Linked DNA regions of Ovis aries. The protein of the gene in region 4 interacts with the protein of the main gene of each other region in a pairwise test. Links are inferred from orthologs where the notes say so. Each region holds a gene or a part of one and is shown on either strand. Other genes may lie near its edges. The genes, in order: BCAM, SDCBP, CUL3, KLHL2, TXNDC12 and TMA16.

The links.
Region 1: the proteins of KLHL2 (region 4) and BCAM interact in binary tests that used the Homo sapiens proteins (3 or more experiments, as listed by UniProt). The two-hybrid records come from large-scale screens. The link is inferred for Ovis aries from reciprocal best matches to the Homo sapiens genes KLHL2 and BCAM.
Region 2: the proteins of KLHL2 (region 4) and SDCBP interact in binary tests that used the Homo sapiens proteins (3 or more experiments, as listed by UniProt). The link is inferred for Ovis aries from reciprocal best matches to the Homo sapiens genes KLHL2 and SDCBP.
Region 3: the proteins of KLHL2 (region 4) and CUL3 interact in binary tests that used the Homo sapiens proteins (3 or more experiments, as listed by UniProt). The two-hybrid records come from large-scale screens. The link is inferred for Ovis aries from reciprocal best matches to the Homo sapiens genes KLHL2 and CUL3.
Region 5: the proteins of KLHL2 (region 4) and TXNDC12 interact in binary tests that used the Homo sapiens proteins (3 or more experiments, as listed by UniProt). The two-hybrid records come from large-scale screens. The link is inferred for Ovis aries from reciprocal best matches to the Homo sapiens genes KLHL2 and TXNDC12.
Region 6: the proteins of KLHL2 (region 4) and TMA16 interact in binary tests that used the Homo sapiens proteins (3 or more experiments, as listed by UniProt). The two-hybrid records come from large-scale screens. The link is inferred for Ovis aries from reciprocal best matches to the Homo sapiens genes KLHL2 and TMA16.

The regions. Positions count from the first base shown.
Region 1 is NC_056067.1:52,350,528-52,355,721, forward strand, and holds the start of BCAM (basal cell adhesion molecule), read left to right. Parts: upstream 1-2,130; 5' UTR 2,131-2,185; coding exon 2,186-2,267; intron 2,268-4,087; coding exon 4,088-4,209; intron 4,210-4,743; coding exon 4,744-4,972; intron 4,973-5,093; coding exon 5,094-5,164; intron 5,165-5,194. UniProt on the Homo sapiens protein: Transmembrane glycoprotein that functions as both a receptor and an adhesion molecule playing a crucial role in cell adhesion, motility, migration and invasion.
Region 2 is NC_056062.1:37,745,941-37,750,451, reverse strand, and holds part of SDCBP (syntenin-1), read right to left. Parts: intron 3,104-4,511; coding exon 2,928-3,103; intron 1,163-2,927; coding exon 841-1,162; 3' UTR 313-840; coding exon of another isoform or gene 221-312; 3' UTR 1-220. UniProt on the Homo sapiens protein: Multifunctional adapter protein involved in diverse array of functions including trafficking of transmembrane proteins, neuro and immunomodulation, exosome biogenesis, and tumorigenesis.
Region 3 is NC_056055.1:226,659,917-226,664,427, forward strand, and holds part of CUL3 (cullin-3), read right to left. Parts: intron 3,595-4,511; coding exon 3,424-3,594; intron 2,816-3,423; coding exon 2,708-2,815; intron 1-2,707. UniProt on the Homo sapiens protein: Core component of multiple cullin-RING-based BCR (BTB-CUL3-RBX1) E3 ubiquitin-protein ligase complexes which mediate the ubiquitination and subsequent proteasomal degradation of target proteins.
Region 4 is NC_056070.1:541,007-545,960, reverse strand, and holds the start of KLHL2 (kelch-like protein 2), read right to left. Parts: upstream 3,052-4,954; 5' UTR 2,832-3,051; coding exon 2,806-2,831; intron 1-2,805. UniProt on the Homo sapiens protein: Substrate-specific adapter of a BCR (BTB-CUL3-RBX1) E3 ubiquitin ligase complex that mediates the ubiquitination of target proteins, such as NPTXR, WNK1, WNK3 and WNK4, leading most often to their proteasomal degradation.
Region 5 is NC_056054.1:26,451,107-26,455,617, reverse strand, and holds the end of TXNDC12 (thioredoxin domain-containing protein 12), read left to right. Parts: intron 1-626; coding exon 627-710; intron 711-2,644; coding exon 2,645-2,724; 3' UTR 2,725-3,500; downstream 3,501-4,511. UniProt on the Homo sapiens protein: Protein-disulfide reductase of the endoplasmic reticulum that promotes disulfide bond formation in client proteins through its thiol-disulfide oxidase activity.
Region 6 is NC_056059.1:2,386,306-2,391,510, reverse strand, and holds the start of TMA16 (translation machinery-associated protein 16), read left to right. Parts: upstream 1-2,042; 5' UTR 2,043-2,150; coding exon of another isoform or gene 2,151-2,183; 5' UTR 2,184-2,749; coding exon 2,750-2,917; intron 2,918-5,205. UniProt on the Homo sapiens protein: Involved in the biogenesis of the 60S ribosomal subunit in the nucleus.

The DNA.
Region 1 (5,194 bases), on a different chromosome or scaffold from region 4:
GATGATGCCGTAGAGATTTGAAGCCAGACAGGGAGGGAGAGATGGCAAGAAAGAATGTCCTACAAGAGGGAAGAGCAAGAGCAAAGGCCCTGAGGCTGAAACAAGCCTGGCGATGGAGGAACCGCATGGAGTCAAAGAGATCTATGTGGCAGGAAAAGAGCTAGCGAGGTGGGGCAGAGAAGAGGAAGATGAGGCCAGGGAGGCGATGAGGACCAGATACAGGACATTGCGCACCACGGAAAGGACTCCAACTTTATTCAGACGGAGAAGATCTGAGCAGAAGGGTGACGGGCTGACTCACATTTTAATGGGATCCTTCCGGCTGTTTTATGGGAGTAAATTGTAGGGGACAAAGACAGATACTTCAGTACTGGTTGGTGCAAGCCCTCAAGGAAATGGCCCTGGCATTTATGACTTTCCTCCTTCGCACACACTCCACACACCCCCACGTTTATGAACCGGAACCAGAACCCCCCGGCTGGTTGGATTAAGGAAGGTGGAAGGGGGCTGTTGAGGAAAGGGTATACCTAGCAGCCCGAGCAGAAGGTGTATGAGCCAGGGGCAGGGGAGCTGGGGAGTGGGTGCCTGGGGTCCCTGTGTGGAAGCTTGTGCCAGGGAGCTCTTTTGTCCACTCTCGAGTTTGCAGTGGGCCGTGTTGGGCCATGATCCAGTCTGGGTGGGGTTTGCATGTGAGCCTGTGTACTCCTGCATTTGAGCCTTGCATACCTTCCCTGAGTTCTTGCTCCATGTCTTGCCTGGGCTGGACAGTACTGGGGACGCAGTAGTGATCACAACAGCCCTGGCCCTTCCCTTCCTGGCTCTCTGTCCAGTGGAGGAGACAAACTCATCCCCAGACAGAGCTGACCCAGAATGGGCAGGGCTAGGTGGGGGAGCCCAGAGGTGGGCACTTGACTCAGCCGAGGAGAGCACGGAGGGCTTTCTGGAGAAGGGGAGCTAACGCTAAAAGGTCACCTCTCCCATCTATAACCATCGCTCTCCTGTATGGACAAAGTAGCCTTGACAAGTCTAACCAATAACCCCCGTGCTGACCTATAATCCAAGATGTCCCTGGTGCCTGACCAGTGGTCCCTCTTCTGCCCATCCACCCCCCACATCTGATCAGAGGCCTGGGGAAAGTCTCCCAGCATGACCAGCTGCCCCTTACTAGCCAGTGTTGAGGGCTAGCTTCTCCCGGGTAACCAGTGAAATCTCACCCCACCCCCCAGCCAGCATCTAGGAATTTTGTCCCAGCCAGGCCTGCCTTGTAAGGAGCCCTGGACACTCTGATCTGTGATCCCAAGTCTGACCTGTGACCCTTCCTTGTGACCCATGGCAGGACTCCTCCTTTTTTTCCCTCAGGTGCCTGGGCCTCCTCCCCGCCCCCACTCACCTGTCAACCCCGTTTCTCTTCCCCTCCCCCCAAAGCTGGAAGGGAGTAAAGGGAAGAGAAAGGGAGGAAGGGGGGTGGCATTCCTAGGATTCCCTGGAAGGGGGGAAGAGAGGGAGGGCCCTAGGGAGGAAAGCTAAGAGAAGAGCACCCCACAGCCCCCACCCCTGCCAGCATCTCAGAGGCCTGGGCAGAGCTGGGTGTTGAAGATCGTTAGACATTAGAACTATTAGACATTAGAACCGGGTGGGTTCCAGGCCGCTGGTCAGACAGGAAAGCAGCCTAGCGCACTGGCCACTGGGGAGGCTGGGGATTGCTGGTTGGACTGGGAGAGGCCGGTGCAGGTCCACTGGTTGGACCCGGGCCAGCAGGTCGAAAACGACGAGGGGAGCCCACGTCACTGGCCGGGGAGGGAACGGGTCCCGCCAGTGAGAATGAGGCGGAGAGGATCCGCGGGGGTCCAGGGAGGACCCCCGCTCTGGACACCGGCCGAACTGGTTGGTCGGGTCACCCGCCAGGGGCGCTGGTCAGTTGGAGCCTGACACCCTGGGGCCGGGGGGGCGGGGAGCCTGGCTCCCGGCTGAGCGCTGGGAGGTCGGCTCCGGGCAGTGGGAGGTCCTGGCCTGGCGCCCGGCTTTGGAGGGGGACGAGGGGGAGACCGGGAGGGCGGGGTGGGGCGGGGCTGCCTGGGGCGGGGCCTCCTCGCTCCAGTCCCGGCGGCCGAGGAGTCCCAGCCCGGGCTCAGTCCCTGCCGCTGCCGCCCGCCGCTCGCCGCCCGCTGCCGCCGCCGCCTTGAACATGGAGCCCCCAGACGCGCGGGCTGGGGCCCGTGGGGCCCCGCTGTTGCTGGTGCTCGCGCTCCTGCTGGAGGCGCACCCAGGTATGGCTCGGGCTGAGAGCAGGGCGCGCCTGGGAGGCGCGGGGAGGGGAGGGGAGATGGGGAGGGGCTTTCGCCGACCCCAGGGACCCCAGGAAAGGAGGGATATGGAGTGCCCCTCCCAGGGAGAGACCCAGCGACAGCCTGGCAGAGGGCTGGGGATCCTCAGCTGTGTATTAGAAGCGATCTGAGAAGCCGTTGGACCCAGGAGTGCGGGCGCTCCGCTCCCTGCCCGCTCAGACGCTGGGATCTGCCCCCGCTCCCACCCCCGCCTGGCCCCTACTCCCCCGGACCCAGAGGTCCTGGCCTCCAGTGGCCAGAGTGCCTTTTCCCCGGGGACAGAAGAGACCAAAGCGGAACTCCCCGCTCAAAAGTTGTCAAGTTTTGAGAGGGTCAGGGACCCTCTGGCTAGAAACCAGCAAGTCACATGCGATTGCGGGTTCCCCCTATTCAGATTCAGAGCCCAGACTCTAAAGGACCCGCCCCTCTCGCCTCCCGCTCCATCAGAGAGGGCTGGAGCCCAGCCCCTGGGCAGTGACAGCGGAACCAAGTGTTTCCAAGTGACAGAGCCCCCCTTCCCGGGGGCCCAGATAAAGCCACGCACCTGCGTGGGGGTTGGAGGAGAGGTAGAGGCCCTCAGGGGCTGCGGGAAGAGAGAACTGGGGGAGAGAGAGATCCCTCTGACCATCCTTGCTGTCTCCACCGCTTGGACCCAGCCCTGGGCACCAGCCTGGCCCCACACTCCCTCCCATGGGGCAGGCCCGGGCCAGAGGTGGGTGCCTGGGAATCCAGGCCCCTGGCACAAGCATGGCGAACAGTGGGTCCCCAGGGGCAAAGCGGGGCCAGGCTGGGCGGGGAAGGGAGGGAGACTCTAAGAACTGAGAGCTCAGGCCGGATTGCCAGCCCAGAGGCTGAAAGAGCTCGCTTTTCACCTCTACCTGCCCGGATCCTGGGACTGGAGTCCTGGCCCTCTGCTCCCTTCTCCCTCAGGACCCAGGATCCGAGCCCTCCACCCTGTCCTGCTGTGAGGCACGTGCTGCTGCTCTCTCAAAGAGTTAGAGGGGCCGAGGCGAGGGTAGGGGGCTCGGGCAGGCCTGAGCCAGCCTGTCCCTCCCACATTCCTGAAACCTGCCCAGCCCTGTCCCCCTTCACCGCGCCCACACACCCATCCTGCCTCAGCTCTGGCCCAGCCCCAGCCCCCCACCCCCTCCCCCACTGCTCCGGATGGAGAGACCCGGGGGGCAGGGCTGGGCAACACGGAGACTGAGAGGAACGCAGAGAACCGTGAAACTAAGAGACGAGACGCAGGGTGAGGGGCGCACACGCGCGCACACACACACACGCACACACACGCAGAGGCGGTGACTGAGATGGAGATGATTATCCATCTCGTTGTGCCAGGCCCCAGGTGAAGTGCTGGAGGCTAAGGAATGAGCCCGCCAAGGCCCTGCCCTCAAGGGGCATTTGGTCTGGGGGACAAGCAAGGACACACAGGATTTGAGTCCAAGCGGATGGTATGGAGGCCACCGGGGCCCTGTGTGGCCCAGGGGAGGAGTCTTCAGTTCTGCAAGTGAACGGAGAGATGGAGAGACGTGCTGATGGGATCTGGAGCTTAGAGATGCAGAAATGAGAGATGAAGGGAGAGAGGAGCTGAATCTGAGGGAGCAGGGGCTGGGGGCCTGGACCCCTGGGTCTGGGGGAGGAGGGGCTGGGGGCCTGGACCACTGGGTCTGGGGGCGGAGGGGCTGGGGGAGGAGGACTGGGGACCTAGAGAGCTCTGCCTCCTGGTGGCAGTGGGAGAGAGCTCAGTCACCCTCCTGCAGGTTCCAAGGCTGAGGTCCGCCTGTCTGTGCCCCCCCTGGTGGAGGTGATGAGGGGGGAGTCTGTCACTCTGGACTGCAGCCCCTTGGGGACCCATGACTATTTCATGCTGGAATGGTTTCTGGTGAGTGCTGTGGGCTGGGAACGAGGACATGACAGAGCGGGGCCTGAGAGTCAGGGCGCAGTGGGGCTGCAAATGTTCATCCCCTCATCCGAGCCCGAAAGCCCCTAGGAGCCCCACCAAGCTGCCTTTCCATTTTACAGGTGGGGAAATGGAGGCCCAGCGAGAGGAAGCCCCTCTCCAGGGTACCCTGGTGTTGGGCACAGCTGAGGCTAGAATGAAAGAGGTCCCTTGGCTCTTGGAAGAGGACATTCAGAGGCAGACACCCAGAAGGCAGGAGCCCGGGGATGGGACTAAAGAGAAAGAGAAACAGGAGACCCAGGGCAGGAAAGGAAGACAGAGGTGGAAGGAGGGAACCAGAGAGGGGGAAAGGTGACCACAGACAGGGAGCGGGGGTGGGAGAGCTGGAGAGAGGACGGAGGGACCAGAGAGAGAGCGTGAGAGGAGACCCACGGAGCGGCAGAGGGAAAGGGGACACGGAGGAGGGCCCGCGGCCGGGCAGCCTCTCGCTGAGATGCTCCCCGCCTGCCCCCGCAGGTCGACCGCTCCTGGGCTCGCCACCGCCTGGCCTGGGCCGAGCTGCATGGGTCCAAGCTCTGGGACAAAGATCTCAGCTCCCAGGGCCGCAGCCCCCCATACCAGCTGGACTCCAGGGGGCGCCTGGTGCTGCCTGAGGCCCAGGTGGGTGACGAGCGCGATTACGTGTGCGTGGTGAAGACGGGGGCAGCAGGCATTGCCGAGGCCACCGCCAGGCTCAGTGTGTTTGGTGAGTGTCTGTGCCTCCCCTCCAACCGCCGCCCCCCTCCCACAACACACACACATCCTGGGAAAGGGCAGGGAGGTGAGAACCCTGGGAACCAGCTCCTGACTGTAAGTCCCTCCCGCAGCCAAACCAGAGGCCCCGGAGGTCTCCCCCAACAAAGGAACCCTGTCTGTGATGGATGACTTTGCCCAGGAGGTACCTTGGGCCGCATCTTGCTTCCAGGAT
Region 2 (4,511 bases), on a different chromosome or scaffold from region 4:
ACAGCCCCAGCCACCCCTGTTTTTTTCTTTCTCCTCAGCTTCCAGCCCTCACTCCTGAGGACTTCCAAAATGTAAATAATTTAAATACTTCAAATTTCTGAATAATGCCAATGTCATCCACCAAAGTACCAAAGGTTTGAGAAGCTTGAGAATTAAGGAAGTACAGAGCCTCTATGAAATCACATGAGCACAGAATGAAGTCAAAGAATTCTCTACTTACCGTTTAATAATGTGTTCAAAGATAAAAGCAGGCATGATTGTAATAGTCACTATATTTCCAGCTGTAGACAATATGTCTGCAATTTGAGAGTCCTGTGGAAAACAATGAAAATTCTGAGAGGCTCTATTAAATATAAAACTAAGTTATTCTTGGTAAAGAAATATATATGTTCTGAGGTTTTGCTAATGTCTCTAAAATCCTGACTCCTGCTATTTAAATTTTTTCCAGTTTCTTTACCAAGTTTTAATTCATCAGTGGCAACAAAACTAAGTAAACTACGTTGAATATATTAGCCAACATAGCATTCTTTTTCTAGAGATTAAATAATTGCCCCCATATACAATATTACCACATCCCCTCTGCTAACATTAATTCTTAATGAAAACCTTTAGACCTCAAAATAGTTCTATTTAGGAATTTGTAGAGGGCATAAACCATAAAAATGAAGTACTAATTTGGCTATGAACTATTACTCATATTTTTCCTACAACCCCTGGACTGAAAAAAGCAATTGGACAAAAAAGCAACCATTCATTCAGGATCTCATCAACATCTTCACTGCCCAGGTATTCACAGAAGTCTAGTTCAAGGGACTTCAGAGATCTCACCCTGACCCCCAGTTACAGAGGCCACAATTCTAGATGTAACATGAGGGCACAGCCAGCGCGACAAAGAATGTCTCCATTTTGGTCACTAACAGCACCACCCCAACAGACAAATGAAAAAGAGACTTCCAAAACTAAACAACACAATGTAAGTTCTACTCTGACCTTCAGTCCGATGACGTTCTGTCCGTTGACCTCACAGATGTTATGTTCCGTGAGAAGACCGTTTCTAGCTGCAGAACTGTCTTTCACAATGGATGTGATTTTTCCATTTTTAAAAACAAAGCCAACGTGTCCAGTACTGTCCTTATGCATGGTAATTGTCCGTTCAAAGGGCCTGTGAGCATAACAGTTTCAATTAAAATTGTTAATTCCAAGGTAAACATGTCAATGGATTTCCATTATGGTGTACTGGATACTTTGTTACCATAAATTATTTCAAAACTATTTGCCTTGGTATGTACATCTTGTGTAAAAGTTTAAAAATTCTCTCCATTATGGCTGGACTAATCAAGATTTCCTTCTTTTAAGAATCAAAGAATTAACACAATGCTTCATGCAGTTTATCAATGTGCTTTTTCCTTTACATTAACATTACGTTTGAACAAAAATCAGTGTTAAAAATGAATTAACTTTTCAGCAGATGAATGGATAAGAAAGCTGTGGTACATATACACAATGGAGTATTACTCAGCCGTAAAAAAGAATTCATTTGAATCAGTTCTGATGAGATGGATGAAACTGGAGCCGATTATACAGAGTGAAGTAAGCCAGAAAGAAAAACACCAATACAGTATACTAACACATATATATGGAATTTAGGAAGATGGCAATGACGACCCTGTATGCAAGACAGGGAAAGAGACACAGATGTGTATAACGGACCTTTGGACTCAGAGGGAGAGGGTGGGATGATTTGGGAGAATGACATTCTAACATGTATACTATCATGTAAGAATTGAATTGCCAGTCTATGTCTGACGCAGGATGCAGCATCCTTGGGGCTGGTGCATGGGGATGACCCAGAGAGATGTTATGGGGAGGGAGGTGGGAGGGGGGTTCATGTTTGGGAACGCATGTAAGAATTAAAGATATTAAAATTTAAAAAATAAAAAAATTTTAAAAAAATAAATAAAAGAAAAAAAATAAAAATGAATTAACTTTTTAGTATTTCCTGGAGCTTAATTTTTCTTAGGAAATACTTAGAACCTTTGTAATATTTCTCACATCTTGATTTTTAAAACTTTACAAAGGTATTTTTGCTGCTGCAGCAGTTAAGACGGAAGCTCCCGGTCCCTTAGAAAGGGAGGAGCTTCAGAAAGATGGCATCCGCTCTGAGCACTGACAACCTGTTACTGCACATGTTTCATGTGCAAAATAAATACGAATTTTACATTATAAAGTTCACAGCAGTCATGTCTTCCTGGTGATCCAAGTTACTTTTTGAAACTTTGCTCACATAAGAGCAAAAGTGCCATTTGTCTGCAAAATGTTTACTTAATAGCTACCATGTATTATTCAAAGCGAAAACACAAAGGTAGACAAAAGCCAGTTGAACCAATATGAACAAAAATGCCAAAGCTAAAAATGTGTTACAAGGTCTGCCCCTCAACCCCTGCGTGGCCGAGAAGGTGGTGGTGTCCGTAGCACAGGTACCGCAAGTTCCATTATAAACAAGCTAAAGATGATGCTCCCACCAAGGACTCGAGCCTCAGCCACCCAGAAGGCCAGGCTGGGTTTTGGGAACTGGTAGGCCCCCATGTATCCACTCTGAGCAGGAAACCAGGGGCAAAGTCCAGACACTTGTTGCTGTTACCTTTCATTTTTCAGAGAAACTGATTAAGACAGGAAAGGAACTTCTCAAAGGACAAATTTCTGTAAGCTCTGAAATAAGGTGTATGCAAAACCAGAATACTGTTTTTAAAAAGTCAAACTATGTAAGAAAGTGAAAGCAACACAGAACTACAAGAGTATAAATATAAAACTAATCAATAATATTTGATTATTTTCCGCAACAAAATGCTGTATTTCCAGAACCTTAAAACCCTAAGAAAATGGAAAACTAGTCCTTAATGTCCACATGTGGCGTTTAGTTGGCTCACCTGTCCCGAATGGTCATGGTGATCTTCTCTCCAAAAGCCTGTTTGAGCACCTTGTGCGCCCGGTCCGAGCTCCAGCCAGCACAGTTCTCGCCGTTTATCTGAAGTACCTGGTCCCCAAACCGCAGGCCCACCAGGGAGGACGGAGAATTGGCCTGGACAAGCTGAACAAATATACCCTGGAGGATGGAAATCACTAAGTAAGTGCTGGAAAATCAGGAACCAACTGTTTAGGCAGCTACTCTAGTAATTTTTTTTTAAAAAAGAGAAAACTACACAAGTGTGTTTCATTACTCCCAAGAAGGAAACTGAAAATGCTATCAAGGCAACAGGAAGATCTGAGTGGTAATTTCTAGCTCACATCATGACTCACCTGACCAAATTCCATCACCCCCTCCACCTTGGAATAAAAAAACTAAGGAAAATAAAGTCAGATTACTATAAGAAATGTAAGGTTCCATGAGTCTGATAAAATACCAAACAGGTATTACTGCACCTGGTCATTATTTAGGAGGGAAGACAGTAAAGTGTTGGAAGTTTAAGAAAAGTGATAGGTTTAGGTCAGAAGTTTACCTTTTGAGCTGAAGAATTCCTTTACTCGCTTGCTAAATTACGCATAATCACTACTATTAAACAGCCTAAAAAGGTGGGTACACGGAATACAACCCCCGTTCTTAAAAATCTTCGAGGTAAATACAGAGAACTCAAGTACAGGTATCTGAGAACTAAACCCACAGGCTATTTTTACTCATGTAAACTAAATTTCAGATGCTGAACACTATCAACAAGCCAAGTGTAAAAGGCATGTGCCAGTAAGAGATGAAAGCAACCACAGGTCGCACCCCTTCTCCGTCCTGAGCTGCCCCAGATTTGGTGCTGCGTAGCCTGTACTCAGATTTGGTGCTGCGTATCCTGTACTTGAGGACGGCACCCAGCAGAGTGGCTACACCTACAAGCTTCGGCCACTGGACAAACCACTGCAAGGATAACTGCTGCAGGGGTGGAGCTGCGGAGAGTGTGGTCTCTCTCTAGGATGTAGAGAGGGCAGGGAAGTGCGAGCTTCCCAGAGCAGCACACTCAATGAGGGTCTCACACAAGCCACAAGTGTGCAAAGACACAATGCCCTCAGCCTCTGGGGAGGCAGGTAGGGCCCGGACTGGCCTCAAACATCTTCCGCCAGGCGCCACATCTTCTACATGCAAAGGCTGGATGCGCTGAGCTATGAGACCGAAGACTGAAAAGAAGCCCAATAAATAACCTGGAAACCCACAAATCAGGGTAAAGACTCAGCACCTCCTTAGTGATCCTAAGTGCTTCCCCACAGAGTAACCAGGTTTCATTTCTTCCATCTGGTAAGGTGAGAGGTGAAGTAATGTACTTTAGAAAGTCACTGTTGCCTGGAAAATGCCCCATGAAAGTCAAATTCAAGGATGGAAATAACAAACCCCAAACCACATTACAAGTCACATGATCGTCTTTAAGTTTAAAAATACACAAGACCACTGACCCTCACCTATCAGTCTTAACTTCCACACGTTACCCTATTTCAATGCCAGCATTCTCCTTGTATGAACTATGTTATAATAC
Region 3 (4,511 bases), on a different chromosome or scaffold from region 4:
TCATTGCAGCACTGTTTATAATAGCCAGGACATGGAAACAACCTAGATGTCCATCAGCAGATGAATGGATAAGAAAGCTGTGGTACATATACACAATGGAGTATTACTCAGCCATTAAAAATACATTTGAATCAGTTCTAATGAAATGGATGAAACTGGAGCCGATTATACAGAGTGAAGTAAGCCAGAAAGAAAAACACCAATACAGTATACTGACACATATATATATATACGGAATTTAGAAAGATGGTAATGATGACCCTGTATGCGAGACAGCAAAAGAGACACAGATGTATAGAACGGACTTTTGGACTCTGAGGGAGAGGGAGAGGGTGGGATGATTTGGGAGAATGACATTGAAACATGTATACTATCATGTAAGAAACGAAGTGCCAGTCTATGTTTGATACAGGATGCTTGGGGATGGTGCATGGGGATGATTGAGAGAGATGGTATGGGGTGGGAGGTGGGAGGGGGATTCAGGATTGGGAGCCTGTATATACCCATGGTGGATTCATGTCAATGTACGGCAAAACCAATATAATACTGTAAAGTAAAATAAAGTAAAAATAAAAAAATAAATAAATAAAAAGAGAAAGAACCTCAAGAACTATTGCTCTAATGGTTTGGACCTTTTATTTCTAGCTATTGTAATAATATTTTTAAGCCATTCAGCTTATTTGCAAAGACACTACACGACAGAGACAAGTACACAAAGACAAGGTACTGGAAAAGTCTCTCTGGATATAATTTGTTGATATAAATGAACAGAAATATGATAGCAAGGTGGTTTTCCTGTCCTTATCCGCATGAAAAAAGTAAAACACAGGAAATAATGCACAAATACTTAAAATTTCCTTCAGCATAATAAATATGACTTGTCTAAATAAAGTATACTACAAGTATTCAGAATTTTAAGAAAGTACTTGTTATATGACTTCTGAAAGTAAACAGAAGAGTCATTCTATTTCAACAGGTCAAGAACCTTTAAGATAGTAACAGAAATATCTGAGGATTGGTGACATTTTAAAAGGGCTCCAAGATTTCAGAAAGTTCAAGATTTGTTTTGATTACTCTGTCACTTTTCATCAAATCTTTCTAATGAAAATAAAGGCTTAGGAGACTTAGAGCTTAAGATTCTTAGTGTATAAACAATTACAAAATAGTGAGGAATTGCATGCAAATAATGGCTCTACAAAGTGGAAGCTGCAACAAGATCAGCAGATATATAACTCTGAGCATCTCGACAAGTACTCTACTTAAAGGGTTAACAAATTATGAAACGAATATTCCACCATAAAGTGCAGGATATATCTGAACAGTCAAAATGGAAGAACAGAAAATGCACAAATTTCATAGAAAGAAACAGAATCTGATAAAATGATTGCGTTGAACAATCCCAATGCAAAAGAATCAGTTCAGTTCAGTCCAGTCCAGTCGCTCCGTAGTGTCAGACTCTTTGCGACCCCATGGACTGCAGCACGCCAGCACTCCCTGTCCATCACCAACTGCTGGAGTCCACCCAAACCCATGTCCATTGAGTCGATGATGCCATCCAACCATCTCATCCTGTCATCCCCTTCTCCTCCTGCCCTCAATCTTTCCCAGCATCAGGATCTTTTCAAATGAGTCAGCTCTTTGCATCAGATGGCCAAAGTATTGGAGTTTCAGCTTCAACATCAGTCCTTCCAATGAATACCCAGGACTGATCTCCACAGAATGGTCAACAGTAAACAGAGATGGTAATTTTTCAATCAAAAGGCCTTCAACTATCACAGAAAAGGTACTTGGACACTTATTAAAAAAAACCTTAAGGTGAATGCAAAGTTGAAAAAGTTTAACAAAAAAGAAAAGAGAAAATCCTAAAGTTCATTATACCCCACTGAAATCTTTTCAAAAACTTCACTGGACTCAAAAGTCTTACTGTAAGTTGCAGCTCACTGCCTTCTGGCAATCACAATACAAAAGCACACTTACAACACACCAGCATCAGCGCTGCTCTACTCAGGTCACCCTTTACCAACCCTGAGGATGTCAGGCCCATTTATCCCGATCTTTCACATGAATAAGAATAACGAGGTACAAAAAGCTCAGGTAACAATTATAAGACAGTACCATCCTAGGGTAAAGAAAAAGTATTAAAACTCAGTAAGCTTGCCTAGGGAGCTTCCCCGGAGGCTCAGCAGTAAAGAATCTGCCTGCCAATGCAGGAGATGCAGGTTCAATTGCTGGGTCAGGAAGATCCCCCGGAGAAGGAAATAGCAACCCACCCCAGTATTCTTGCCTGAGAAAATCCCATGGACAGAGGAGCCTGGCTGGCTAGAGTCCACAGGGTCACAAAGAGTTAGACACGACTGAGCGACTAAGCAACAAGAAGTTTGCCTAAGCCTGGTATTCTTTCCATAATCTATAACGGTTATAACAGCCAAGTAACTCTATTAAATATTCAGTGCATTCCTTCAAGTAGGGAGGATAAACTAAGTTGTTTAAGAATGAGAATATATTTTAAGATTAGAAAAGTTAGGAAAACAGGTTATATGGGGTAAATAATTTTTAAAGCCCTCACAGACAATACATATGTTGTCTCTAATGACATTTAAAGAAACGACACCAGCAATTCAGTTATCTAAATGGATGAAAATGCCTATTACAAAACACTGTATATAAAAAACATTTACATAAGTAGAAATTAATTTAAGAGTCTCACCCCAGTGGCCTGTAGATGTTGCCTGAACTCATCCATAGTTGTGTTTGAGATGCTCATATCCCTAAACATTCCTTCCAGTTTTGATGTGAATTGACATCCACATTCAGTCTGTAGAAGAAAAACACAAATATACACAAATGATGGATTTTGTTATGAGGAAACATACAAACTCTTCCATGTTACTGCCATCCTTTCTAAATCTTTCTAATAGTTGTTTTATGCCTGTAGGCACCAACTTTAGTGGGATTAATAACCTACGAATTTTATTTTAAAATGCAAATTTCCAGACTCTCTCTGGGATTTCCGTAAAGCCAACTGAAGGTGGGGCCCAGAACTCTCTGGTTTTAACAAGAAACACCCATATTAGGTGATATGGGTGCAGGTGGCCTATGGATCACACTCTGTGAGTCTGTCATACTCCATTTACTGCTTTCCTTGTACTGATCCTCCCTCAGATTGCCATAAACATATCTGCTTCACCAAGAGAAATTTCAGTACACTGTGAACGTCCCAGAACTTGAACAAATCTCAATACAACGTTCTCTTAAAAAAAAAAAAAGAAAGAGAGAAACCCCAAGTCCCTCAAAATCTAGCTTTGTTCATTTACAAAAACAAATATTTTAAATCAATTATTTCCCAATTATTTGTTTGCTGGTGCTCAATTATGTGATAAACATTAGCTAAGGGCACTCCGTTCCATCTTAAATACACCTTACCTTTAACTTAGAAATCATATTTTTTTCAGAGTCATCAGAAACACTTTTATTTGTAAGAAGTCTCCTTGCCAAGTGTTGCTTATAATAACGTTCAAATACATCTTTTTCTTGCATAAACCTAAAAAGGACCATTGCCTTATCCAATATTGTTTCTACTTCTTGTTCTGTTAGCTGCAAATCAATCAGAAGACAATTTAACAATTACACAGCTTTAATTCTACAAAAACAGCATCACAGTTCAGTTTTAAAACAACATTAATAACAAACATAAATATCTGGTTGACCAAGGTCAGAAAGGAGATATAATGTGAGAAAATATGGCCCACTTCCTACAGCTCACTCTTACATTCTGAACTAGTGCAACGTGAATCAGAAGTTGGAATGGAGCTCCACTCCCCAGTGGGCTAACTCTGAAAGGGAGAGGCTGATACATGGCTGGATTAAAGGATGACTGAGAATAGCTGAAATGAAATTTTAATCACATAAGAGAATTTTACAGTGCCCTTGCATTGTAAAACATATTGGACAAAATTTATATGAGCTCATTCAAAATTGAAATTGTTCAAAGAGAAGCATAACAATATGTTATATTTCCCAAAGCAGAAAGGTCTCTTGCCCCTAATCTTTTAAACAAGAGCAAGATGATACTGTGGCAGGTTGTATTCAGTTTATATTAAAAATTACGGAAGACTACTTAGATGTGTCTTTTCTATTCGGTATCCTTGGTAATCTTCCTCTTGTTTCTCTGCTATTACTACCTACTTGCTGCTTTGCCCTTATGTCTCACAAATCCCAAGATGAAGTCAGCAAGACCAATTTACACATAATCCCAATCTGTTTATTTTGATTTTCTGTGCTATAGTACGCTTCCAAGATCCCACATATATTATAAACACTTGAAACTGAGCTTCCATATATGCTATCAAACTATTTTCTGATACTTATTCTAGACTAGGCCTTCAAATTCTTGACACTCAAGTACTACTGGATAACCTCCAGAACCAGGTAAGAGTAAGCAATATTCTATGTGCAATGCATAGCTGTCTTCTAGTTTCTTATTATCTCTTATAACATACATAACCCTTACA
Region 4 (4,954 bases):
GAAAAAAGGTACAGTTGTATATCTGAGGCATGTTTACTTAGCTTCATTAAGAACAAGCAAAAAACCAAAGCCTGTAGGGAAAAAGCCAACTTGTGAAAGAGGGTCAGTAGAGAAAGGAAGGCCAAGAAAACTTTTCAGTTCAAAGGGATGCATTCTGTGCTATACTCATAGTCTTCAGTAATTATAAAAATCTTCACAAAAATAACTATAAAGGCTAGAAATGTATAAAACACTCATGAGGTCAGGGGTGATCAGCTTACACTTCCTTTCACACATCTCAGTACTGCTTAAGACGACTCATTTGCTAACCTATATAAATTTCAGTTGAACACTTTTCAGGTTCAATCAGAGGCAAATATCCCATGGTTTTAATATTGCCCAGACCCAAAAATATAACAGAATCTAAAAGATACATATACTCAAGGATGCAGAAAACAACAAATAGAGATATAAAGTCCATGACAATCAACATGAGAATCAAAAAGGATGAGAAGAGCTTGAAGGCAAGGAGTAGAAAGAGGAGAAGGGAAAAAAACCCTAATCTCAACAAGCCCATCTAAAGGAACCAGAGACCTGGACACAGTCGCCTCCAACCTTCCCAGACGTAACAGACTGAGAAGGAGCAAGGTGGGATTTGAAAATGATGCAAAACCGGTTGCTAAAAAAACTCACAAGCAAAAGTATAATACTCAGTACCAGGTAGAGACAGGCATTTCAAATATTTGGAGAAACAAATATTTGCACAAATAAAAAGACATTCATACAAAGAGGATGTGAGTCCCCGCTTCCAACCACATCATTCAAAGCACGTAGGTCCCCATCAACCAACTTTCTTTGCATTTAAGCTCAGGCTAAAAATCTAACCTTATGAAAAGCTGAGCCCTCTCAATAACCGACACTGGCCTCCTAGCCCAGTTCTAGCACAGCGAGGCCCAGCAAAGTTCCTTCCCTAAGAACTGTCATTTCTCAAATCCAGCAGCCATGAGTCAGTGTCGAAGGAAAAAACAAAGTTATTGGGAGCGGAGGCAAAGAGGCCAAGGAGTGGGAAGAAAAACTATTTTTGATGTACAGAAAGGTAAAAAACACTCCAGTTCTGGAATTATAGTATTCCTAGATAGACCAAATGAAAATAAAACCTATTTCTATTTATCATTAAATGAACAGAAATAAAAGTATACCAACTTAAGCCACTAATGACTGAAAGGAGTTTTTTGGTTTTAACTTTGTTTCACCCCTGGTTTTCCATTACATCTCAGCCTCTCATTGTTGCAGCTCTACTGATGAAGCCTTAATAGCAAAGAACTATGCTGGACACCCAAAATTCTGCTTAGTTGATCTGTATTAGATTCAGTTTATCAGTATTTGCATGCACACATTTATTTCATTTTTCATTACTTATATTTAAATGACGTGTAATGTTCTTTTCCTCCCTTCAGAGCCTGCTTTCCCAAAGCTTTTTCTCATCTGCATTCTAAGGTACCCTTTTTCTTTCCTTTAGTTCACTTTGCTGCCAAAGCAAAACAGGGTCTGCAGGGAACTGATATAAACAGGGCAGGTTTATGGCAAATAATACCCTACCTAAGATATCCTTTATACCATGTGTTGTCTACAGTCAGGTAGCAATTCCTTTTATGCCCCTGAGCCTGAGCACAACCCATGTGCTGACGCTATGCTCACATTGTTGATGCTAACAACCATCATCATGTTTCCTAGAGGTTCAGGAGTGTTCCCAAACCTGCTGAACAACATGAACATATCACAAAGTCCTCAAAGCCACAACCATCATCAAGCAACTGAGCTCTTGTTCCTACCAGTCCAGGAATTCAAGAGTCTCAGGTACTCCTTAATCCCCATGACCTGGTTCTACTCAAGCTAAAAATTCTGTAAGGCATTTTTAGAAACTGTAGTTTCAGAATTCTATTAGCTCTCCTAAAAGGACTCAACATCAAACAAACTTTCAGCCCAAAACAAATTTAGCTGGCATTCTGCCAAATAGCTATAAAAGGTTGCTGTTGTACAACTGCCCTGAAGTGAAGCTGGCCAAATCTAAATGAAAAGTGATAAAGCTCCAAGAATAAGCGGTCATAAAAAGATACATGGTTCCTCAGAAGAAATTTGCTGGCGGTTTGAAACCTCAGATTCAAAGGGCTCTTGTCCCTTTATAAAGATTAAACTAAAGAAAGTAAATCAAACTTGAAATGTTCAAAATTCCTGCGGATTAATAGTCCACTTTTAACAAAATGCTAAAGAAAAATCTTGTATTGAATAATGCAGTTTCTTCAATGTCTCCCAAGTAACTGTTCAGCTTATTTTGGAAGCAATTTTGTTGCAGGTCTTGAATGTACTTGGGTACCAAGGAAAAGACACCTGTGCCTGGCAGGTCGTACGCTACTAATTCGCCCAAGGTGCCAGAGAAACAGAAGATGCTGTGATTTCTGGACACGATTTTCTGCTGTGCCAGGTAAAAGAGGTCACATGACCTGTACAGCCACGGTTCAGCTTTTTCCGAGCAATGTGGCAAGCTCCTCGGACAGAATTTTGCTAGGAATTCGGAGAAACAGGCAAGCTGAGAGGAATTCCTCTCGGCACCGGTGTCTGTACTTTGCAGCTTCCTTTTCCGACGGCCTCGCGCGCATCCTGTGTCTCCATCCCGCCGATGCTCGGCCCTCCCTGGGCTCCAGCTAGCCAGCAGAGGACCCTCCCTACAGCCCCGCGCGGCGACGCCCCGCCCGCGGGTCAGCTGGGTTCCGCCTGCCGCCCGGCCCGGCCGCTACGGCCCCGCCCGCTGCCCGTCCGCTCACTCACGCGGGAGGCCGCGGCGGCGTCTCCATGGCGGCTCCTCTCGGGCTTCAGCTCTACGGCGCCCGCCGCCGCCAGCACCATTCCAGCTGCGGACGCCTGCCCCGCCCGCCCGTCGCGCCGCGTCCCATCCGCCCGGGCGCCAGCCCACCGCCGCCCCGCACCCGCGCCTGCACCGGCACCCGCTCCAGAAGCGGCCCCGCTTGCCGGCCCAGCTCTGCAGCCGCACTTCACGGGCGCTCTCCGCCTGCCGGCGATGCTGGGGGCGGAGCGGCAGGAGGGCACTTCCGGGTGTGACGCGCCCTCAAGACCCCGCCCCGCCTCTTCCTGCCGCTGCCGAGTGGGCTCCCAGGGTGGGTTCTCCTGCCCGAACCCTTGAGCGGGAGACGTGAGGGCGGGGTCCGGCCGGAAAGCGCGTGGTCCCGGCGTTTGGCGTTCCCTGACTGCTCCACTCCACAGGCGCCTTTGTTTTGTCCTCTCGCAGTTTACCGCCAGGTAGGCGGGAGGAGTGGGCGTAGCCGATCCTTCCTTTACAGATAGTGAAACTGAGGCAAGAAGAAATGGCTCGCCTGTCCAGAGTCCCAAGCAGGAACTGGAGCCTCACTTCTCAGGCTGTGATCCCCTCGTTGCACTTACTGGGAGAGATCTACAGCACTGTAATGGGATGCAGAGAAAAATTAGGTATCCTTGCCCGCGTACCTGCCTGCCATGAAAATACCGAATAGTCAGGTGAGACCGGAAGCTAAATGGTGGTCAAGGATTGAAGTCGCTCAGTCGTGTCCGACTCTTTGTGATCCCATGGACTGTAGTCTACCAAGCTTCTGTGTCCATGGGATTTTCCAGGCAAGAGTACTGGCGTGGGTTGCCATTTCCTTCTCCAGGGGATCATTCCTGACCCAGGGATCGAACCCAGGTCTCCTGCATTGCAGGCAGACGCTTTACCTTCTGAGCCACTAGGGAAAGGCCTCTCAAAATATGTCATATAGAAGAGATGGAAGAAAGCGAATCTTGAGTAAATCAGAGTGCTCAGGGCAGAGGGGAGAGCAGTGCAAAGACTCCTGGACCTTGAAGAAATGAAAGAGTACAGTGCAGCTGATGGTCCCCCAAGTATGCCGCTGGGCAGTGGTAGGATCTGGGAACTTGTTAGAAAGGCAAATTCTCGAGGCCTATTTCAGATCTGAATCAGAAGTTCTGAGAATGAAGCCCAGCAGCCTGTGCTGTGACAAGCCTTCCAGAGGATACTAAGGTTTAAGGACCTCTCTGGCATCTGAGCAGTCAGGACAGGAGACAGTGGAAGGAGATGGTGTCCCGCGTGTAGTCCCCCTGGTAGGCCTTTGAAAAGATTTCAGCTTTTATTGAAAAGAAAAACAAATGCTGTGAGCAAGGTGATCTGATCACTAAAAGGATGACTTTGCTGGGATTTGTTTTAAAATCCTCCACCAAAAAAGGGAGGGTAGGGAATGGAAGAAAGAAGATGGCAAAAATGTTAATTTTTGTTACTGAGTGATAAGTGCACAGGGTTAGTCATTTATGTGTAAGCTGATTCTTCTGTTGCTATATGAGCCACAGATCCAAGAAAGCAAACAAAAAATTGCCTGCTGGGATGATCAAAGTGATAGAAGTTTATAGATTCTGTTTTTTCGGAAAATATAAAGCAGATCAGAATTACTGATAGATTAAACATGAGTATAAGAGACCAGAGTGAAAGATGATCTCAAGTTTTGTTCTGGGCTCTTAGGAGAGTGGAATAGACATTTACTGAGATTGAGAAAATAAAGAAGAAACAGATTTTATGTGGAGAGGGGAGTATTTGTCAGTTCTGATTTAAACATAGTTAAATCTGAGGTGTCCGTTAAGTATCCATGTGTGGATAGGTGTAGACATTTAGATATCTGGAGTGAACTAAGCCAGAAAGAAAAACACCAGTACAGTATACTAACGCATATATATGGAATTTAGAAAGATGGTAACGGTAACCCTGTATGCGAGACAGCAAAAGAGACACAGATGTATAGAACAGTCTTTTGGACTCTGTGGGAGAGAGAGAGGGTGGGATTATTTGGGAGAATGGCATTGAAACATGTATACTATAAGAAACAAATGGCCAGTCTAGGTTCAATACAGGATACTTGGGGCTGGTGCACTGGGATGACCC
Region 5 (4,511 bases), on a different chromosome or scaffold from region 4:
AAAACTTTTCCCATTAACTAGCTGCTTTTGTGATAAACAATAAAACAACCCCCCTGTTCCCCCTCCAATACCCAAACTGCTTTTGTGAGCAATGGGAGAGTACTGATCATTTATTCATTTGTTTAGCAATCATCTTTGCATCAGCCACAAGTTAAACACTGTCAGCCACAAGTTAGGCACTACAGGAACCGAGAGAAGCCATAGTTCCCACCCTTGCCCTGTAGCACAGCTGAGGCAATGGGATACTGCAACCAGACAAATATCTTTTCAGAAACAATTTCCTGGGAGATATTTAATGACCACCTTGTCTTTGATCAGCATTCTGCTAGGTTCTATGGGGAATACAAATAAAAATATAGGATCCCACCATCATCAAGCAGAAAAGGAACATGCCAGAAAGATGGAACAGTATATAGGCATGGTTGAGGGTGGGGGTGGGTTGTGTTCAGGGAATTCCAAGGGATTCATTTTGATTGCAATGTAGAACACAGTGGGTAGGGTGGTGAGATAATGGGCTGCAAAGATGGGTAGGTCTCATTTTCCAGAAGGCCTAGTATATCATATAATGCTTGAAGTACCTGTCTGTTGTAGTTATTGCAACCCCTGTGCCATTTTGTCTACAATAGATCCCAGTGGCAAAGTGCGTCCTGAAATCATCAATGAGAATGGAAACCCCAGCTATAAGTATTTCTACATCAGTGCTGAGCAAGGTATGGCTATGTTGGGAGAGAAGAGGGAGGGTTGCTGCTAGGTTTAACTAGAATGAACCACATGCGAAGTTTGATGGGAAACTAATTCAGCATGTTCACTAAGCATCTTCTGCATGTAGCTTTTGGCTAGATGCTATGTAGGATATAGAAGAAAGAGAAGAGCAAGCCCCTCCTCTAGCTTCTTACAGTCCAGTAGGAAGCTAACTGACCCATAGGAAACTGGAGAACTGAGGCTTCCAGAAACAGTTGCTTGCCCTTGGACTCACAGTTAATAAGTCACAGAGCCAGGATTTCCGTCTACAACTTAGTTTTTTTCCACTGCACTAACACTATTCTTGTAAGAATTCAAAGGTAGGGGAATGCTGTTAGATGATCCATTCAGAAAGGTTTCATAGATAGTAAACTAACTTGATCTAGACAGGTAAGAATTTGTCTCTTTGGTCAGATATGAAAAGGACATTTCAAGCTAAGGAAGCAAGGGAAAAGGGTGTCAGGTGTAGCCCAACATGGAGAGTGCATGAGTCATGCTAGAGGGGATGATAACTGAATTGAGTCTTGAAGAATGAGACCTAACCAGCAGAGGGATGTGCAAAGCATTATTGGAGGCAGAGGGAACAGCGTCAGCACAAACATGTGAGGGAAGATTGAAGTCACAAGTCAGTCGTGGTTTTTTGTTCTCTAATCCTGAGTGCAACCATTCTAGAGGCAGAAGTTGGAATTCATGCCACATACTGTCACTGTTTTCCTTCTGAATTCTCCCTGCCATCTGTAAAAGAGGGTTATTTCTAAGTTGCCATGTGTCTCTTCCTTTGTCATGCTGCCAGTTTGTTGATCATTTTATGTTTTGAGTCCTCAGCACTCTTATTTCTCAGAATAGGGAGAGGAAAGATCTGGAGAGGTTATCCTCTCCTTCCCATGGGTAAGGAGAATGTTATCTTCCCTACCCAAAAGCAGATCCCTGGAGGCTGGTATTACCAGGAAGTTTTCCACATGGAGAAGGGCAACTGAACTTTAGGTCCCCAACTCTTGACCCTTGAAATTCACCTTCCTTTCAGAATTTCATGCAGTTACCCCTGCCATCTTGACGTGGGCATCATCCTTTAATATATTAGTCCAGATATGGACACAGAACCCTTACCTGAATTCCCCATGGCTCAGCTGACATGAAGCTGAAATATTCAAACCTGACTTTACTAAATGCTTGGGCAAAACTAAAGGGGTGTAACAAACTTTACTACCTGCTATGCTTTCTGAGATCCACAGATTGTGGCTCAACCCTAACACCTGGCCTGCCATTGTACAGGGAGCCTGTACCCAGCTTCCCTCTTTGATTCCCAAGATAGACAAGAAGACTCATCTCCTGTCTACCCAGGGCTTGCCTTCCAGGTTTCTCTTTTGCCTGAGAACTTGACTTCTTCCATACATAATTGGTACTGGACATAACCACCTCTTTCCGTGAAGAACCATCCTCCCTCTAAGCACACATACTTGCTCACATATCAGTGTAACCTCCACAGAAAATGAAATAAATGCAGCATTCATCCCAAACACGTGATGGAGATGATAGGAAGATGCTTTCTATTCCCTTAGTGTTGTGTATATTTCCAGCTTATGACAGGGATTCAACACTAATCCTGGAGGGTAAGCCAAAGTAACTGCTAAATAACATTTTTGTAGGACCTCGTAGTTTACAAAGGACATTTATTATTCATTCTCTCATTTAATTTTTATAATCTGTTTGAAGTTTGTAACATCACCTTATTTATAGATGAGAAAATGAATTCAAGAGACTTTCCTGGGATAAAATCCAGAATTAGATCTTAAATCCAGATCCTATGCTCCTCTTACATTTCTCCTAAAACAGAAAATTATGTGTTGGTTGTCAAATATGAAAGACTTGCTTCATGTTTTTCCCCTCAATGTTTATTTCACAGTTGTCCAGGGGATGAAGGAAGCTCAGGAAAGGCTGACGGGTGATGCCTTCAGAGAGAAACATCTGGAAGATGAGTTGTAGCATGAATGCATCCCTTCTTTCCTCAAAGATATTGTTCTGGAAGAAAGCAGCAGGGAAGGGAATACTGAGGAATCAGAACAATTGAATGGATTGGAAAACCTTGCTCCTTCCCACATGGGAAAGGCCCCCTCACTGTTGGAAGAATTCTGCTGCCAGAAACTAGTCTCCATGTTTGTGATCCAGCAGACTGTGGCAGACTTCCTTGTCCTGTCCCCTCTCACCTAACTATCTCTTTGTCATTGAAGGTAAAGAATGACACCTTTTGACATAAAACATGAGCCATTTGGAGATTTACTCCTCACACTGCAGTATTTGAATCTTTCCATTTCCTCCTGCTTAACTCACCTTGGTGGTGAAAAGAGACCAGAAGCATCTTCTCTATAATGTTAAACATTGCGGAAAGAGCTTATTATTTAAGACAACAAATTCTAAATGTAAAGCCGTAATTCTGCCCCACCAAGGAGCTCACCCCATCTCTTCTTTTTCTCCTGGGAATAATCTTGGGCTTCTTCCGGAATGCCTGCAACTTCCCTCCTCTTCTCTGGCTTGGCTTCCCTGTCTGCGCGCATGCGTGTGCGGGAATGGCTGTGTGCTCTGGACTGGCCCCAGCTGGAAGCATGCTTTCTTTTCCCCCATTAACTGTGGAAGAAACCTTCTAGCCCTAGATGGAGCCATTTTTGTCAAGTCGTCAACTGTATTTTTGTACTGGGATTAATAACAAAAAAAGAAAAAATATTAATTGTTCCATTAAACTTTAATAAAACTTTAAAAGGAAATGTGTTGTGATGGCCTTTTTCTTACTGGGGAGTGGAGGGAGAGCACTTCAGGAAGAAAACTAACCTTGAGAGCCTCATCCAAGAGCTCTATCTAGGGCTGTTCCCACACCTGCATCTCCCACATTCTAAAGGATGTCAGAGCTTGTCTCTTCTACTTTTCAAATACCCAAATTCCCTCTATCCTCACTGTCACTGTTTTGTATGGGACAGGCCTTTTCTACTTCCTGTTTACTGTTACAGCCTGTGACTTGACTACTTGCCTCTGATATTCTCTCCTGTCATCCATCCTCCTTAACTTCCCCCAGAGTAATCTTTCTAAAACACAGATGAGACCACGTCACTCCCCTGCTTAAAGCCTTTCCTGCCTCCTTCAAGAAAATAATATTAACATTAGAAAATATTGGGGCCTCCCTGCATTGGAGTCTGCATTTGCTGCTGTGCTTGCCTGGACCACTCTTCCCTGTGCTATCTACAGGCTTTGCTCCATCATTTCTCATTAAAGTTTCACTGACTTTATTAATAGTCACAGCCTACCCTCCCCCATACTCTCTTTTTCTTTACCCTGTGTATTATTTCAACAGTATAAAAAGAGGGATCTTATAAGGTATCACCTCCAGTGGAACACTGAGAGTGACAGGGGCACTGTTCATAACTATGCTGAAGTTACAAGTTCATTCTCTACCTCTTTCTTTGAGAATGTAAGCTGCAGGAAGGTTAATACTTCATCAGTATTATTCGGAGTATATGACAAGATTCTTGAAATGTCTGACACAAAGGAGATATTTAGTAAATAAATATTTATTAAATGAGTAAGAAAAATGGCAACCCACTCCAGTATTCTTGTAGACAGAGGAGCCTGGCGGGCTACATGGGTCACAAAATGACTTAGTGACTGAGCAGGCAAGCACAGAACATTATTGTAACAAGCCTGCCTAAAAGGTTAACTGACTTTCTGAGAGAATATAGCTTAGTTTGATTTACTGGTTTTTTTAGTATTTATTAACTTGGCTG
Region 6 (5,205 bases), on a different chromosome or scaffold from region 4:
CTGCACCAGCTTACATTCCTACCAGCCATATAGGTTTCCCTTTTCTCCACAGCTTCTCCAGCAATTGTTACTCGTAAACTTTTAAAATTATGACCACAGAATAATAATTTAATGCTTACTGGATTTGCAGTAACACAGAACTCAGAACAATGATGTGCCCTGAGCCAGATTCAGGGAATAGGCTTGGGTGTGTGTAAGGCGGCTTCACAGGAAATGGTGAGAGTACAGAAGTAGGGTGTAAACACTATGGGTTAACTGTTCTCAGCAGAATAATACTTCCAGAGTACATACTGCAAGTCTGCCCTTGATTGTGTAGCTTCATGCACAATGCACTTTCACACACTTAAAAGCATTGCCCCAAGATTCATGGATCCTGTGGTCACCCACTCTTGGTTACAATTTAGTTTTAAATGGCTATATTTGTTGATTAAATACATGAACCTGTGCAAACATATCTAACAAACACACCAAACTTCACTATGTCTGTAGCTCCTTGCCACTGTCTGGTTTTCTCCTTTAATTCAGGTGACAAGAGTCTCTCCTTGACCAAATTCTACTTAGGTTCTTCTGAACTCATTTTTCAACTAGGCCTGGAATTTTGGCTTTCCTATTCTTACCTGATTGTTCAGTTTTAGTAGGGAAGTCAGTTTAGACAGAATCCCCAATCCTCCATATCTGGTCAACCTCCGCATCTATTAATATCAGGTGAAGGCTGATTACACCAGCCTGCCTATTTCCAGGTTGGGCTTCCCAGATGGCGCTAGTGGTAAAGAACTCAACTGCCAGTGCAGGTTAGACGGAAGAGACCTAGGTTCCTTCCCTGGGTCGGCATGATCCTCTGGAGGAGGCCGCGGGTAACCGACTCCAGTATTCTTGCCTGGAGAATCCCAAGGACAAAGGAGCATAGTGGACTGCAATACATAGGGTCACACAGAGTCGGACACAACTGAAGCAACTTAGCACCTACGCCATCAGGTTGGTGTAGCCAGAACACACCGTTATAACCTTAATGTTTCCTCATAGTACTTTCCATCCACCAACCCCGACTCTGCTCCTTGGCTATAAATTCCCACTTGTCCACGTATATTAAGAGTAGATCTCTCCCCCATTGTGGTGATCCTTACACAGAGGAGAAATCTCTTGAGTAAAGTTTGTCTTAACTTCCCCTGGGCTTCCCTGGTGGCTCAGCTGGCAAAGAATCCGCCTGCAATGCGGGAGACCTGGATATGATCCCTGAGTTAGGAAGATCCCCTGGAGAAGGGAAAGGCTACCCACTCCAGTATTCTGGCCTGGAGAATTCCATGGACTGTATAGCCCACGGAGTCGCAAAGAGTCGGACACGACTGAGTAACTTTCATTTCACTTCACTTCACTTCCGTTAGTAAGTGTCTTGAAAATTTTGCCTTGAACATAGGTCTCTGTTCAACTCTTTCAAAAGTGGATTTCTGAGACCACCACGCCTAAAACAACTTCTCTGCCTTAATTTCAACTTTATTTTTTAGAATACTAACACTACTGGAAACAATATGAATTGATAGGGTTTTGTTTTGTGGATTTTTTTTTTTCCCTCCACATTCTGCCTTGAAATATGAGCGGAGCAAGGGCATGGAAATAGTTTGTCCGTTCCCAAAGCCTTGCACACAATTTGCTGAATGAATATAATGTCCATGGAATCCTACCAAGTACAGATGGAACGAAGACACATCCTGAGAACACAGAAAAAGCAGGTGAGAGGAAGTCTCGAGTGTGCAGACGGGACTCTCACTGGTGAGGACAGAGCCTCGGGGGAGCCTCGCTCCGGCAGCCGGGAGGCGCAGACGGCAGGCCTGCGCTGGGCGGAAGCCTAGAGCCGCCTCGTCGGAAGAGGCTGTGTGGTCTTGGATCTGAGCGCAGGGCAGACGCCTGAGAGCCTACGTTTCCCTCGGCACCGGAGAGCGCCCGACTGACGCGTCAGTCTCCTGCGGCTCACAAAGACCGGGGTCTTGTTTCCCGGGACGTTTCAGGAAAGAGCACTCGCCCTCCCGCTTCCGGTCGAGTCGCGCGGCTTCTTCCGCCCCTCGTGTGTTTGGCGGGACTCGCCGCGCGACGGGCCGTCAGGTGCTGGCGTGTGCAGTCTGAGTTCCGGAGACTCGCACCGTGCGAACGTCGCCATGGTGGGTTCCCCCAGGTTCCTAGAAGGCCCGGTCAGTGCCGGGTCGGGGAGGCGGGCCGGCGTCGGGCGGCTGGGAGCGGGTAGGGAGTGAGAACGGGGGGTGGGGCGGGCGAGTGCTCCGCGCGGTCGGGTCTCTGGTCGGGGCCCTGCGTGGCTCCGCCCCCGGCCCGCGGGATTGCGTGAGGCTCCGCCCGGCCGCTCCTCAGCGGGTGGGGCGGGGGACGCAGGGGACGCGGCTGAACTGAGAGCAGCTGCCGCGGCGCGATCGCCTGGCCTCGGGTCCGTTCCCCGCCTTCCCGCCAGTGACCACTCCCACCCCAGGCCCCGCCTCCGCGCCTTAAGTATAAAGGTCAACTGTATAAGGAATTCCCGTTTACTACTTACTATAAGAAATCCCCGTTCCCCTCCTTGAATCTGTGTCCCCATGAGCCACTTAGAGGAAACCAGTATCCAAATTCTGCTTGCTTGTCTTTATACTTACCGCTTGTTTGTATTCCAGAGCTGCTCTTTCTTGCTTTTTTCGCTTCTGTTCTTGAGAATATTTCTTGAATACGAACATGCTGCTGCTGCTAAGTCGCTTCAGTCGTGTCCGACTCTATGACCCATCAGGCTCCGCTGTCCCTGGGATTCTCCAGACAAGAACACTGGAGTGGGTTGCCATTTCCTTCTCCAGTGCGTGAAAGTGAAGTCGCTCAGTCGTGTCCGACTCTTCGCTGTCCCATGGACTGCAGCCCACCAGGCTCCTCCGTCCGTGGTATTTTCCAGGCAAGAGTACTGGAGTGGGGTGCCATTGCCTTCTCTGAACATGGTTTTTAAATATTCATTTTTCAGTTTCTAACGAAAACAACGACATAGAAAGTTTATAGTGTGGCAGAAAGTTATCTGGCCTCAGTGTCGTTACTCCCTTTTAATTTTTTTTCTCCTTTTCATTGTATTTTCATTTTTCACGTCAGTTTTTGCTTCAGGCTATACGTTTGTGTAAATTCAGTCTTTTTTACGTATCAGTATGTGCGATTGCCAGCTCTTCATAATTTTCTAGCCTAACTACTGTTAGTAGTTGGATTGTGTGTTCGTGATTGGGGGTGTTCATTAACATTTGACTGTAGTTGTCCTTGACTGTCAGAACTTCACTTTTGTCATGCTGTACAGTAGGAGTATGTTGCCTTATGAGTCAAGGAATATAAATCTGTTCTCACTGGCACGTTTCCTGGCCTGTCGTTTTTCTGGTGCATCAGTAGTGTCTCTGTTGCATCCTGTCTTGAATTTAAACTCAGCTTGGAGCTGGAGGTTTTTCCATCTGTACATTTGTATCAGTTACTCTATAAAATTCTTTCCTACAGTTCAGAATGTGGGCAGTGGAGTCCTGGAAGATGTTTGGCACCTGTCTTTGCTAAATTATGGTCTTGATGAAGTTACTTAACCCCTCTAAAACTCAGTTATCCTGTTAAGTTGGAGTAATCATAGTGTCTACCTCGTAGAATTATGAAAATTAAGTGTAAACAGCTTAGCCCAGTGTCTAGTGCTTAGTGAATGTTAGTTATTGCAGTTACCTTTAGTAATAGTAGAGGTACCTGATGGTCATGTGTATATATTGTTTGGAAAAGTGTCTACTCATGTCCTTTGCCCAGTTTTTAATTAGATTTTTGTTGTTGTTGTTATTGTATGAATTCCTTTTATATTTTGGATACTAACTCCTGATCAGGTAGGTGATTTTGCCAATATTTTCTTCCAACTCCTGTAGGTTCCTTTTTATTTTGTTGATCATTTCTTTTGCTCTGCAGAAGCTTTTTCATTTGATGTAGTCCTACTTGCTTATTTGGGGGTTTGTTGCTTATGCCTTTGGTTTCATACCCAAACAGTCATTGCTGACTGTTAAGAAACTTTTCTTCCTATGTTTTCTACTAAGAGTTTTACAGTTGAGGGCTTACATTTAAATCTTTCATCTATTTTGAGTAAATTTTTGCAAGTGGTGTAAGGGAGGACCAGTTTCATTCTTTTGCATGTGAGTGTGTTAGGCGACTGTATGCTCCTCGGTTTTCGTCTCCTCACAACAAAAATTTGGAGTGACGGACATTAAAGCCCCCTCAGCATGTCACAGCTCTCGGGTCTTGGATAGACCGTGTTATAGCTCTCAAGTCTCGAATGGACCGTGTTATAGCTCTTAGACAAATCAGTGTTACAGCTCAGTGTTACAGCTGTATTTTATCTAGAAGACAGTTGGAAAGTCCATCTTTGAGGCGTGAGGGCATGTTGATCCAAAGACGCAAAGAGAAGAGCACCCCGCCGCGTGTGGGGGAGAGAGAGAGTGCTTTGGCTCCTCTTTTTATGTGTTTGTTTTTTCTCCCTGGGCCTGTCCTATATAAATTGGGCTTGCCAGGAGTGTTTGTTTTAACTGTGGTCCTCACTCCAGTCCTCGGACCTTCTTTTGTTCTACTTTCCCGGGCTTTTCTCTTCCTTATCTTTTAGCCAGTGCCATTCTGGACTCTCTTTCCCTATTCTAACTACCTAACATGAGTATTGCTACTCCAGCTTTCTTTTGCTTTCCATTTGCATGAAATATCTTTTTCCAGCCCCTCACTTTGTCTGTATGTATCCCTAGGTCTAAAGTGGGTTTCTGGTAGACAGCATATATAGGAGTTTTGTTTTTGTATGCGTTTAGCTAGTCTCTGTCTTTTGGTTGGAGCATTTAATATATTTCCATTTAAGTTGATTATTTATATATATGCTTCAGGTGTAAGCTTAGGTTGTTTACTTGAGATTTTTCATTACCATTTCCTTTACTGTTTTGGGTGTTTTTATAGGTCTTTTTTCATATGTTTCTCCTCCACCCATGCCCCCATGTTCCTGTAGTATTTGTTGTAAAGCTGGTTTGGTAGTGCTGAATTCTCTCAGCTATTTTCCTTGTCTGTAAAGCTTTTGATTTCTGTGTTGAATCTGGGTGAGATCTTTGGTGGATAGAGTAATCTTGGTTGTAGGATTTTCCCTTTCATCCCTTTAAATATATCCTACCACTCCCTTTTGGCTTGCAGTTGCTGCTGAAAAATCAATTGATA